Linked DNA regions of Elephas maximus indicus. The protein of the gene in region 2 interacts with the protein of the main gene of each other region in a biochemical or structural test. Links are inferred from orthologs where the notes say so. Each region holds a gene or a part of one and is shown on either strand. Other genes may lie near its edges. The genes, in order: CLDN1, TJP1 and CLDN7.

Region 1 (3,745 bases), on a different chromosome or scaffold from region 2:
TTAGATCAAAACCCAAGAGGGTGCCACAGCCAGTTACTGCAAAAGCCCCAGCCAGAACCCAGACTTCCTAAATCCCAGCCCAGACCTCATGATTCCAAGGGAAAAGATTTTTTAGATAACCTCACCTTTCATGAATTCTATCTGATAATTCACTAATAAATTCGCCTTTGGGTGGAGGTCACTGACCAGGCTCCTGTGATAATGAAGCTCTGCTCTAAGCCAAACTGCTTTGGGGAAAAAGCTTTGTGTGTGTGTAGAGGGGTGAGATGCATTTTTCTAAGCACCCAGACGGATTAAGGGCGGAGGTTCTGGTCATCTTGAAATGTGGTGGAAACCAGACGGGGCCGGGAATTCAAGTCCTGGAAGCGCTACTAGCGTGCTGTGTGATCTTACGAAAACCTGGTTTCCTCTCTGATCTCATTTTCCTGATCTATAAAATATAGGTCTTTTTATGACTCTTGCAGAGAGAGATTTGACATTCTAGGAGAAATCAGGATGGGAAGAAGAGGATAGAGGGAGAAAAGGAGAAGGGGAGCTGAAGGAAGGAGAGAGGTAGGGGGAGGGGAGGAAGGGCAGGCAAAAAGAAAATTTTTTTTAATAAGACACTGAAAAGAAGATTTCACATGTGCCGCTCTTGAGGTCTCTTTTTCATCTTTATGCATTTTTAGAGTTTACACGTCCAGGGTTAAGTTTTTGATACAGGTGGATTGATTGCGTGAGTCAGTGAGTGAATAAATGAATGAATGAAAAGCTGGAGAAGCATGCCAATAGGAAAGAAAAGACAGGGAGAGGAGAGAGCGCAGGAGCACACAGTGTCTAGTCCTGGAAGAGTTGTCCCCACACCGCAGCCGCAGGGCCCGCCTAGGGCGCAGCGGCCTCGTCCTGCCTGCGAGCCTCCCTTTCCCCGCCAGGGGGCGCTGCGCGGGGGCCGGGCCGGGCCGGGGGTGGGGCTGCTTTAAATTGCGGCGCCCGCAGTCCGGCTTCCCAGTCCCGGAGTCTGAGAGCGGGAGCATCCTGACTCCAGCGCCCACCTGGTGCCCTACCCCGCCCGGTACCCGGACCCTCTCCAGCGGCGGTGCCGAAAGCAGGGATCTCCGTAATAGCGGCTCCCCGGCGCGGCGCCGCCACCCTCGGAGCCCGCCTGCACACTTGCAAACTCTCCGCCTCCTCCACCTGCCTCCTGCGCCAGCGCGGGCGCCGAGCGAGCCATGGCCAACGCGGGGCTGCAGCTGCTGGGCTTCATCCTGGCCTTCCTGGGCTGGATTGGCGCCATCGTCAGCACCGCGCTGCCCCAGTGGAAGATTTACTCCTACGCCGGCGACAACATCGTCACCGCTCAAGCCATCTACGAGGGGCTGTGGATGTCCTGCGTGTCTCAGAGTACCGGGCAGATCCAGTGCAAAGTCTTTGACTCCTTGCTCAACCTGCCCAGTAAGTGCATCCCCCACCCCACCCACCCACCGCGCCGCCCGGAGACCCCAAGCCCATGGCCCCGTTACGGAGTAGTGGCTCTCAGCTCATTCTGTTGGGTGATTGTGTGTTTATCTGTCGTCAGTTACTCAGGTATTCTGATCTTGTGCCTTGTCGTGAGGAAGTGGACAGGACCCTGGTTTGGGAGAAGGGTGGCCCAGGGCTAAACTCTAGCTTTGCCTTTAACTCTCTGGACGACACCGTTCTCCTCTCTAAGAGTGGTTTTATCTTAAATTCGGATTAGGGGAAGGGGGTGGATTGAGAGGGTGGAGGACAAACTCCAATTTAAGCTCTTAGCATAATCAGATTCAATTTACACACATTCTCACATTGTGTGTAAATTGAAGAGTGGTAGGGTTGGAATAAAATTTTTAAAAAGGGATGGCTTGAAAACTTTGGAGGCTCAAATTGGTAAAAGGAAATAGATAATTCCAAAGCCTTAGATGATTTTTTTTTTAATGTTTAGAATGACTCTCCAGAGTAAAAGTCCCATCACAGTGTCTTCTGCTTCCATTTGTGGTTTATTATTTTGGTCCTTCTATTTCTAAGATCCGGTAAGGGTGAGGAGGACCTTTTGCATCCTCTCCCAAGACTTTTTTCCTTGAAGAAGCCTCTGAGATTCCCCCAAAGGGTTTAGCTCTCAAACTGGGCACCTTCAGAAGATGCAGGCTGGGTGGTGTTGAGAAGTTTGGGAGCAGGTGGAAAAGTCTGACAAGTTCTAAATACCTTCCCAATCACAGTATGAAAGGAGGGACAAAGGCGCTGAAGAAAAATGCAACAAAATGGATACAGGTGATGACAGTCCAGGCCAGCTGGGGGAGGGGAGGAACGTGGAGATGAGGAGGGGTTGCTTCTCCAAGTTTCTGCCCTCCATGAAGGACTTTCCTCTGTGAAGGATGTCTTCTCACTTCTATCAAGCTGGAAAGGACTGTGTAGCCTGGCGTATTTCTAAGGATGGTGTGGAGAGGGTCATAGGAGCTTTTTTCCTCTCTTTTTTAAAATAAAACTTTTTGAGTGCCACGTCAAGAAAGCCATTGAATGCCCTCTTCATTAGGTAATGACTATAGCTAAACTGTCTTAATAAATCGTATCCGTCCTCAGGCACCGTACATCTGTTACACTCTTCTAACTAACTTGACTAGCTCCCTCGGTCTTTGCCTACGTAAACAAGCAGTGCTCTACCAGCCCATCAAGTCCCTCTGAGTGCTAAGGGTGATGTGTGCAATCAGACTGCCCCAGAAAGTAAAACAACATGGCGATTGCTCAAGGTTACATTGGTTGCATTGTCCACCCCCTACTGAGGTGCACCTTTGAATAGTACATGTGGTTTTCTAAAAAGATGGGTCGTTTTGAGTTATAAAATAGATACGGTCTGAATCTGTCTAAACACTTGTGGAATTGGATCACTCTGTATGTGAGGACTGAGTACTGTCATTTCAGCTTTTCAAAGTTTCCATATCAGGGCTCCTATGTACCCAAAACTAACTTATACTTTTAGTAATTATGTGTTGGTTATTGTCCATCTGTGTTATGTTTACTCTTCTAACATGAACGTTTGGGAAATATTCATTGGATTTCCCCGTAGACAGTGTCAGAGACTGTACATTTTGGGTGCCATGTTGAGGGATTGGCAGATAGAGAAGGTTCGAAGGGAATTCTGGAGAAGCCTCGTTGTCAATTTTATTTCTTTGATCAAAGTTGTTTACTTTCAACATGTTTAGGTAGGTTTTCTTTTAATTTCCTTTCATGACTCAATGGAATCAGATTTATCTATGTCGTAAATGCTCAACCAAATCTTCCCTCCACATGGTAATGTGTTCACATGTTTTATTTTCGTTTGTTCCTAATTATACAGTTATTGCAGTTTTTAAAGCTATGGTAGAAGAGCTATACTTTCCCTTTCCGTCTCCCCCTCCCCCTGCCCCCTACACGTACGTGCTTGCAGATTTCTCGCTGATGGGTTTGATTTTTTTTTTCCCCTTTTCCTCCTGATCAGATTTCTTCTTTTTATTTTGGTTAAGCCAGGGTTTATCCAAGGACTGAGGCCTTTCTCTCAAAACTCATTCCCAGGAGAGAGCTGTGAGTCACAGGTTCACTCCCCCAACCTACCAGTGACTCACTGGCTGCCTTTTGATGGAGCCCAGAGAACTGTCTCGGTTTCCTCACTTGAGCAGTGGTGCTCACACCCACCTGGTGTAGAGACCGGGGATGTTGATTTACTGGTGGTTTTGGTATAATTCTGTGATGTCTGGAGGTGATCAGGGCTACCTGTAAA
Region 2 (3,745 bases):
CACAATATAAATACAAGGCAAGGTATATATTTACATATGTGTGTATATATATATGTATATATACATAGACATATATATTGCTCACTTTGCATGGTAGTGTGGGATTCCATGAGTTTGAATGGATTCGGTGGCAGCTGGTAGATAAATCAACATAGATATATATATACACACACATCCCTATCTATATCTATAGATATAAATACAAAAAAACTTTAGAATAGATGAGGTTACAAATCATTACATCGTAATTATAAATTAAAAATTACTGTCATTCTTTTTTTTTTGTTATTCATTCTGGATGTGTACTGTTGGGATTCTTTTGGGGACAGTTAAAAGCAAGTTCCTATCAGCAGCTACGGTGCCCTGGTGGCACAGAGATTAAGTGCTTGGCTGCTAATGAAAAGGTCGGCTGTTCAAACCCACCTGCCGCTGGGCAGGAGAAAGATGTGGCAGTCTGCGCCGGTAAAGGTTAAAGCCTTAGAAACCCTATGGGACAGTTCTACTCCGTCCTATACGGTCGCTGTGAGAGAGAATTAGAGTCGACAGGAACGGGTTTGGTTTTTCTGTCAGCAGCTGAAAAAAACTGAAGCCCGAGGGGGCGCGGGGACGCCCCGGCCTCTGCCCGCAGCTCCAGGACGGGGCAAGGCGAGGCTGGCGGGCTGTGAGGCCGGCGCGCGCCGCTCCCTCTGTGCGCACCGGCGGGGCGCATCCGCAGGCCGCGCGGAGGACTCGCGAAGGCGGAGGGGGAGCGAGGCGGCGGCGAGGCCGGGAGCGGGAGGCCAGGCCACGCACGACAGCGCGGCGGGAGCGGGGCCCGGGCGCGCACGGCGGCGGGAGCGGGAGACCGACCACGCACGGAGGCGGGAGCGGGGCCCGAGCGCGCACGGAGGCGGGAGCGGCGGCGGCGGGAGCGGCGGGCACGCACGGCGGCGGCGGCGGCGGCGGCGGGACGGGAGCGGGGCCGGGCGCACAGCGCCGCGGCGGCGGGAGTGGCGGGGGCTGTGGCGGCGGCCGCGGCCGATGGCCCAGAGCTGATCTATGCGGCGCTTGGAGGGGCTGTGTCTGCGGCGGCGGCGGCGGCGGCGGGGCCCTGCCCGCGAGCGGAGCGGGGACAAGATGAAGTACCAGAAATACCTGACGGTGCTGCAGATGGCCATCGGCGTCACGCCGTCCAACCGCGGCAGCCTCCTGCCGCTCAAGAGGAAGCTGTGGTGAGCGCGGCGCGCGCGGGGGTGGCGGCGCCGGGGCAGTGGCCGCGCCGGGCGGGGGCCGGGCCGGGCCGGGCCGGGCAGCGAGGCCGCCGGCGGAGCGCGCAGGGCGCAGCAGCCATTTCGAAGCCCGGGGGCCGGGTGCCGCCGCCTCCCACGGCACCGGGGACATGTTCCGCCGCGACCCTCGGCTGTGCCCGGCGACACGTAGCGCCGCGCGTGGCCGGGAGGGGGCCGGGCCGGGCCCGGCCCCTCGGGGCGCTGGTCTCCCGCCTGGGGGTCGGCCCTTGGGTCTCGGTCCCAGCCAGTTCTGGCTCAGAATTTCAAGCCAGGCTTTCTTGGAGGCAGCGAAAATTTTGTTGTCACGTTATGCGCTTATTGTGATTTTTTCAAAGTCCATCTGCTGTTGGGTACATGGCAGAGGACAAGCTGGTCCCATGTAAACGGGAATAAATCGTGAGATTATCATTGCATTATCAGGGGCTATGCCTTATCGGCAGGAGTTGCAGTTCCTCGCCTGAAAACTATTATTGAGGTGACAGGAAAAGAAAGCCCATAAAGAAAAATGTCTGCAAGTTATACAGATGTGTGTCAGGTTGTGTGTTCTGTTTTATTGCCATTTAAATTATGTCACATGGAACCCCAGTGGCGTTCGAGGCATTACATTGATTTGAGATTTAGGTGCAAGGCATTATCGAAAAACAAGTAATCAAGTAAAAAGACTGTGAGTATATAAAAAAAAAAAATAGACAAGATTAAACTGATAATTTAAGGTTTTAGAAAAAAGGAACCAAGATTGCTTTTAGGCATTTGAGGAGCAATTCTGCTGTGTAAGACAACATGAAAGGAAGATTCGAGGTATATAAAGATACATCAGAAACCACACAACAACAAAGTGGTATAGTCGGTTCTGACTCATAGTGACCGTATAGGACAGGGTAGAACTGCCACATAGGGTTTCCAAGGAGCGGCTGGTGAATTCGAACTGCTGACCTTGTGGTTAGCAGCCGAGCTCTTAACCACCGCACCACCAGGGCTCCATAAAGATATTTGTGTAAAAGTACAGTATTTTACTTGTTTTTCATGTAATTGCCTTTCCCAGTACTAGACTGTTAGTTGCTTAAGGGCAGTGGGCCTTTTACCTGTTTATAGTTGTTAGCTGCTGTCAAGTTGGCGGGACTAGTGGCAACTCCGTGCACAAGTGATTCCATGCACCATGGATGTTGTAGGTCACACTGTTGTGGTCCATTGGGTTTTCGTTGGCTGATTTTCACAAGTAGATTGCCAGGCATTTCTTCCTAGTCTGTCTTAGTCTGGAAGTGCTGCCGTAACTTGTTCAGCATCATAGCAACACGAAAACCTGCACTGACAGATGGGTGGTGGCTGTGCATTGGTCAGGAATTGAACGTGGGTCTCCTTTTTTTCCCCCACAAGGACGATGAGAATTCTACCACTGAGGGAGCCATCACTGCCCCTTTCCGTTTGCTTAGTTCACTGCCAAACCCCCTGCAGAGATCCCCTGGTACAAAATAGCTTCTCAATAAATGTTTATTGAATAAATTAATTATTAGTCATACATGATCGAGAAAGAAAGTCAAGGAAATTTGCTTGCTTGATGTTATATTTAAAAATTAAAGTGTGGAATTAATATTTGAGGAGCTGTTAGGCATGAATATTAGCAGCAATTGGGCACAAAATGAGGAAGCTAAGTTTATTCGTTTTCATCATTGGAGCACTGCTTCTGTAAATACATTCCCAGAATATCGAGTTTGTGAAGAGAGGACACAATCAAGTGAAATCCGTGTAACTTTTATTCTGTGGAGATTCATATTTGAGGCACGCAGTGGACTAGGCCAGGGATAAAAACCAGGGCTTCGGATGTTCACTGGTTTAACCCCTGCTGAGAATTCGCGTTTAGCAAGTTCCCAGGAAGTTATACATAAGAATCACCTGGGGGGTATTGTTAAAATGTAGATTCTGATTCAGTATATCTGGGGTGAAACTGCAAATTCTCAACAGGGAACTTGTTAGAAATGCAAATTCTCAGCAGGAACAAACTGGTTGGAAGCCATGATAAAAACCATCTTTCTAAGAGATAGCTTGGAAAACGCCAGAGGATTTTGATGGACTTTTCCATAATCTTAGATGACCACTTCAGAATTTCTACTCAGTGTGAAATGGATATGCAAATGTTAGTCTAGTTTCTGCAGTGACAAAATGAAGCGCACACTCTACAAACACTCTCAGAGTGGGTGGTACTTTTAAACATAGCGTATAATCTTTATTTATTTATTTTTAAGTTGGAGGATATTGTGCTTGTTTATCTTTTAAACCCTCTGGAATTTTTTTTTCTAGATAATGTTTCCTTTTACTGGGTTGTAGCAACTGCATGGAGGAGAATTTGAGATGTAAGGCGCAATTACATGGCTAGAAAATATGAGGATTATGACTGCAGGGGGTACGTGGAAACCCTTAGCAGACATTAGCAATGTGTGTCAGAACTTGAAATGCATCCTGCTTATGCCAGTTTAGGTGCC
Region 3 (3,745 bases), on a different chromosome or scaffold from region 2:
AATGGGGTAATTGCTTGGGAAGAGTGAGAAAAAGAACAGGGTGTGAGTTGGGGACCTGGGGGGTGATTCAAAGGCCCTATTAGAGAGTTCAAATATTAGGTAGGACATCAACTTGAGGAGGTCCAATAATGAACACAAATAGAGGGCTCCTGGCTCAGCCTGAAGGAAAGAAATGTGTGTGGTGGGGGAGGGGAGACGGTGGGGACTGGTTTCAAAAGACTCCAAGAAAGAGGAAGGACAGGTGTGGCCAATACTCTGAGCTAGGCTTTTCCTTTATGCTTTCTATCCTGTGCTGTGCGGGTTTCTGCTAGAAGGAACCTTGGTGCAAGGAGCAGGAGGAGGACCAGAGCCAGGCCCGAAGGTAGTGTGGAGAGGGATCCAGGTACTAAGTCATGTCAGGGATGGGAATGGGGGGCCTGAAAGGCGCGGGTTGTTGGGGAGCCATGCCCGGAAGTAGGGTGTCTGTTGGAAGGCTCCGTCACGGACTACAAGGGACATCGAAGAGGAGTGCTGAGGTGGTGGCGCTGAGGTGGTGGCGCTGAGCATGGAGATCCTAAAGAAGGTGCAGAAGCGGGGACTTCTGAGGACTTGGGGCCAGGGCCCCTGAATGTGTGATCGCTAAGGGAGGAGACTGAAGAAAAAGGGAAAAAGCAGAGGGTGGGGAGGAAAGCAGGGAGGGACAAAGACCATTTAGACCAGAAACCCAGAGTCCTGGTGGGGAGGAGGTGGAGTCGAAACTGAAGAGGTCGTCCCCCCGCTCTGGCTCCGCGGCTTCCCAGGTGCACCTGTTGGGGTGAGGGAAAGGGGCATATGGGTCGCTAAGGGAAGTCTAGTCCGGAGGGGCTGATTTTGAGTTTGGAATTCCGAAGAAGTGCTGCCTCCTCCCCACCTCCGGTCAAAGCCGGGCAAGCGAAGGGGCGTGACCCTGATACTCAGGTTTCTTCCTCTTTACCTGGGCTAGGAGGGGTGGGGGCCAGAACTTCCGGTTCAGGTGAGTGTCCCTTCGGTGACGTCAGGTCACCCTCGGCCGCCCCTCCGGTCCCGCCTCTCCCGTCCCGCGCACCCAGTGCCCGCGGGGGCGCGGCCCCGACGCCCTACATATACTCAGGTGCGCCGCACCTGTCCGCCCGCACCTGCCTGCCTACCGCAGAGGAGCCTCTTCCGCGCACCGCAGCCTGGGGCCGACAGCCCGGGGTATTTTGGGGCCTGCCAGAACCCGAGACCGCGCCCATACAGCCCTTCCACCTTGTTTGGGCAGGGTCGCCCGGGCAGCACCGGCGGGAACCGCCCGACCTTAGCAGACCGCTTTTGTTTGGAGCCACTCCTCCAGGCGTAGCCTGTCCTCTCTTCTGCGAGACCCTCGCCCTGCCTGAGGAATCGATTTGTGCTCACTTTGGGTGACAAGATTTGCTGTCACCGACCAAAAACTTTTGGTATCTTTGGGTGACTTAAAACTCTATCCCACCTTGCCTTTGTGTGGGGTTGCCCCTCAAGTTCTGTTTACTGCAGGGTCGCCCTCCCGGAGCCCCGTCTTTTCTGAGGGGGGGAAATGGCCAATTCGGGCCTGCAGTTGCTGGGCTTTTCCTTGGCTCTTGTGGGCTGGGTGGGCCTGGTGGCGTGCACAGCCATCCCGCAGTGGCAGATGAGCTCGTACGCGGGCGACAACATCATCACGTCCCAGGCCATGTACAAGGGGCTGTGGATGGAATGCGTCACGCAGAGCACCGGCTTGATGAGCTGTAAAATGTACGACTCGATGCTCTCTCTGTCCGGTAAGGCCGTGGGACCGACGGGGCAGACGCGCCCAGGGCCGAGGTCGGGGGTGGGGTGCGGGGCAGGGCCGAGGCCCAGCGGTCGGGGCCCCGGGGTCGCCGGGGAGCGGGCGAGGCGCTGAAGAGGCAGAAGCGGCCGGCGAGGCTAGGGTGCCGGGCGGGAGCTGGCCGGCCGCACCCGAGCCGCTCCTGCTGCCAGAGCCCTCCTCGTCCGGCCCGGGCCCCCTCGCGGCTGCCGCCCGCGGCCCAACCCTTCGTGGGGGCCGGCGCCTGAGGCCGCCCCCTGCCCAGCCGCTGTAGCCAGGCCGTGGCCTCCGCCGCCTCCCGCCCATTTCTCTCGAACAAAAGGGGGTTTGGGTCGAAGGCCTGGGAGCCGCGCGGCCTGGCAGGCGTGGGCCGCCGCCTGCGGCCTCTAATCTTATCGGCCGATTAGCCGAAGCCACAAACCCGGTGGCCTCGATAGCGGGCTCGGAGCGGGGCCGCGGCCCGGGACCTGCGGCGGTGCGCGGGCTCGGGTCGCCGCCCGGCTCCTCCTCGCAGCCCCGGCTCACCCTTCCCCCTCGCCGGGGCAGTTTCACCGAAACCCTGGGCCCCGGGCGGCTCCCTGAGAGGAGAGGGCGGGGCGGGAGCAGGAAGGCCGCGGCGCCGGGAGGGCGGGACCCAGCCGGCCGTGGTCTGGGGCTTGGCCGCCGCGAGGCCCCAGGCCGGCCGCGGGACCCGAGCGTCCGCCAGACGAGGGTCCAGGGGTTAGTGGGCGCGGCCGGCGGCGCGAAGGCTGGGGCCGCCCGATAGCCGCCCGCATCACCAGCAATGACGGCGTCCCTCCCTCTTCCCTGCAGCGGCCTTGCAGGCCACTAGAGCTCTAATGGTGGTATCGCTGGTGCTGGGCTTCTTGGCCATGTTCGTGGCCACGATGGGCATGAAGTGCACGCGCTGTGGAGGAGACGACAAAGTGAAGAAGGCCCGTATAGCCATGGCGGGAGGCATCGTTTTCATCGTGGCAGGTGAGCCACAGTACCGAGGCCTGTCTGCCCAAAGGTCCTCCTCTCCCCAGTCCCAGAGGAACAAGGGTGAGCAGAGCCGTGGGTCGAGGGCTCGCTACATCTTAATCTCCCATTTTGTCTCCAGGTCTGGCTGCCTTAATAGCTTGCTCCTGGTACGGCCATCAGATTGTCGCAGACTTTTATAACTCCCTGATCCCCGTGAATTCTAAGTAAGTTTGGGAGCCCTGCCTCCTAAAGGGACAGGTCTGGGGTCCTGGAGTGGGGAGGAGGGCAGAGGCAGACTGGGTTTCTAACTCCAATTCCCTCTCTTCACAGGTACGAGTTTGGTTCTGCTATCTTTATTGGCTGGGCAGGGTCAGCTCTGGTCCTTCTGGGGGGTGCACTGCTGTCTTGCTCCTGTCCAGGCAGTGAGAGCAAAACTGGGTACCGGGCGCCCCGCTCCTACCCTAAATCCAACTCTGCCAAAGAGTATGTGTGACCTGGGGCAGAGAGCTCAGCCTGTGTGTGGGCAGGGTGCCCAACAAAGGCCCTGTGGTCATCCCAGCCCTGCTGCACACAAAGTATGGTTCTCTGAGGGGGGTGGGTTGGGTGAGGGGAAAAAAAGGGGGGCAGGGTGTGCTTTTTGTACAGTAATAAAAATGTTTTGGAAAACACGCCTGTTTTTTTTCCCTTCAGGGTCTCTTCTTCCTGCCCAGATTCTAGCAGGGAGCCTGAAGCCTAAGTGCACTTACTTGTAGCTCTGTTCAAAAATGCTTATTGGGCATTATTGATGTGCAAGGCTGTCCCTGCCCCTCCTCCCTTTCCTTTTCACTGTAATTCAGGCCCCAATACCTTGGCTATTGACTCTAAAGACCAAGGGGCTTGGCTTCTCTTAACGGTTCCCAGCCTCCAGTTTCCCCCAGTCACAACCCTTGCTTAAATAGCTATCAGAGTTTTTTTAATAAAGATTTTATTAGGCATGGGGGAGGG

Evidence for each region.
Region 1: the proteins of TJP1 (region 2) and CLDN1 form a complex in vitro, tested with the Homo sapiens proteins (2 studies listed by BioGRID and IntAct, with this or other methods). The link is inferred for Elephas maximus indicus from reciprocal best matches to the Homo sapiens genes TJP1 and CLDN1.
Region 3: the proteins of TJP1 (region 2) and CLDN7 form a complex in vitro, tested with the Homo sapiens proteins (2 studies listed by BioGRID and IntAct, with this or other methods). The link is inferred for Elephas maximus indicus from reciprocal best matches to the Homo sapiens genes TJP1 and CLDN7.

The regions. Positions count from the first base shown.
Region 1 is NC_064819.1:24,727,203-24,730,947, forward strand, and holds the start of CLDN1 (claudin-1), read left to right. Parts: upstream 1-986; 5' UTR 987-1,208; coding exon 1,209-1,431; intron 1,432-3,745.
Region 2 is NC_064831.1:94,005,804-94,009,548, forward strand, and holds the start of TJP1 (tight junction protein ZO-1), read left to right. Parts: upstream 1-1,023; 5' UTR 1,024-1,038; coding exon 1,039-1,211; intron 1,212-3,745. UniProt on the Homo sapiens protein: TJP1, TJP2, and TJP3 are closely related scaffolding proteins that link tight junction (TJ) transmembrane proteins such as claudins, junctional adhesion molecules, and occludin to the actin cytoskeleton.
Region 3 is NC_064837.1:13,597,339-13,601,083, forward strand, and holds CLDN7 (claudin-7), read left to right. Parts: upstream 1-1,069; 5' UTR 1,070-1,549; coding exon 1,550-1,772; intron 1,773-2,611; coding exon 2,612-2,776; intron 2,777-2,900; coding exon 2,901-2,985; intron 2,986-3,091; coding exon 3,092-3,254; 3' UTR 3,255-3,359; downstream 3,360-3,745. UniProt on the Homo sapiens protein: Plays a major role in tight junction-specific obliteration of the intercellular space.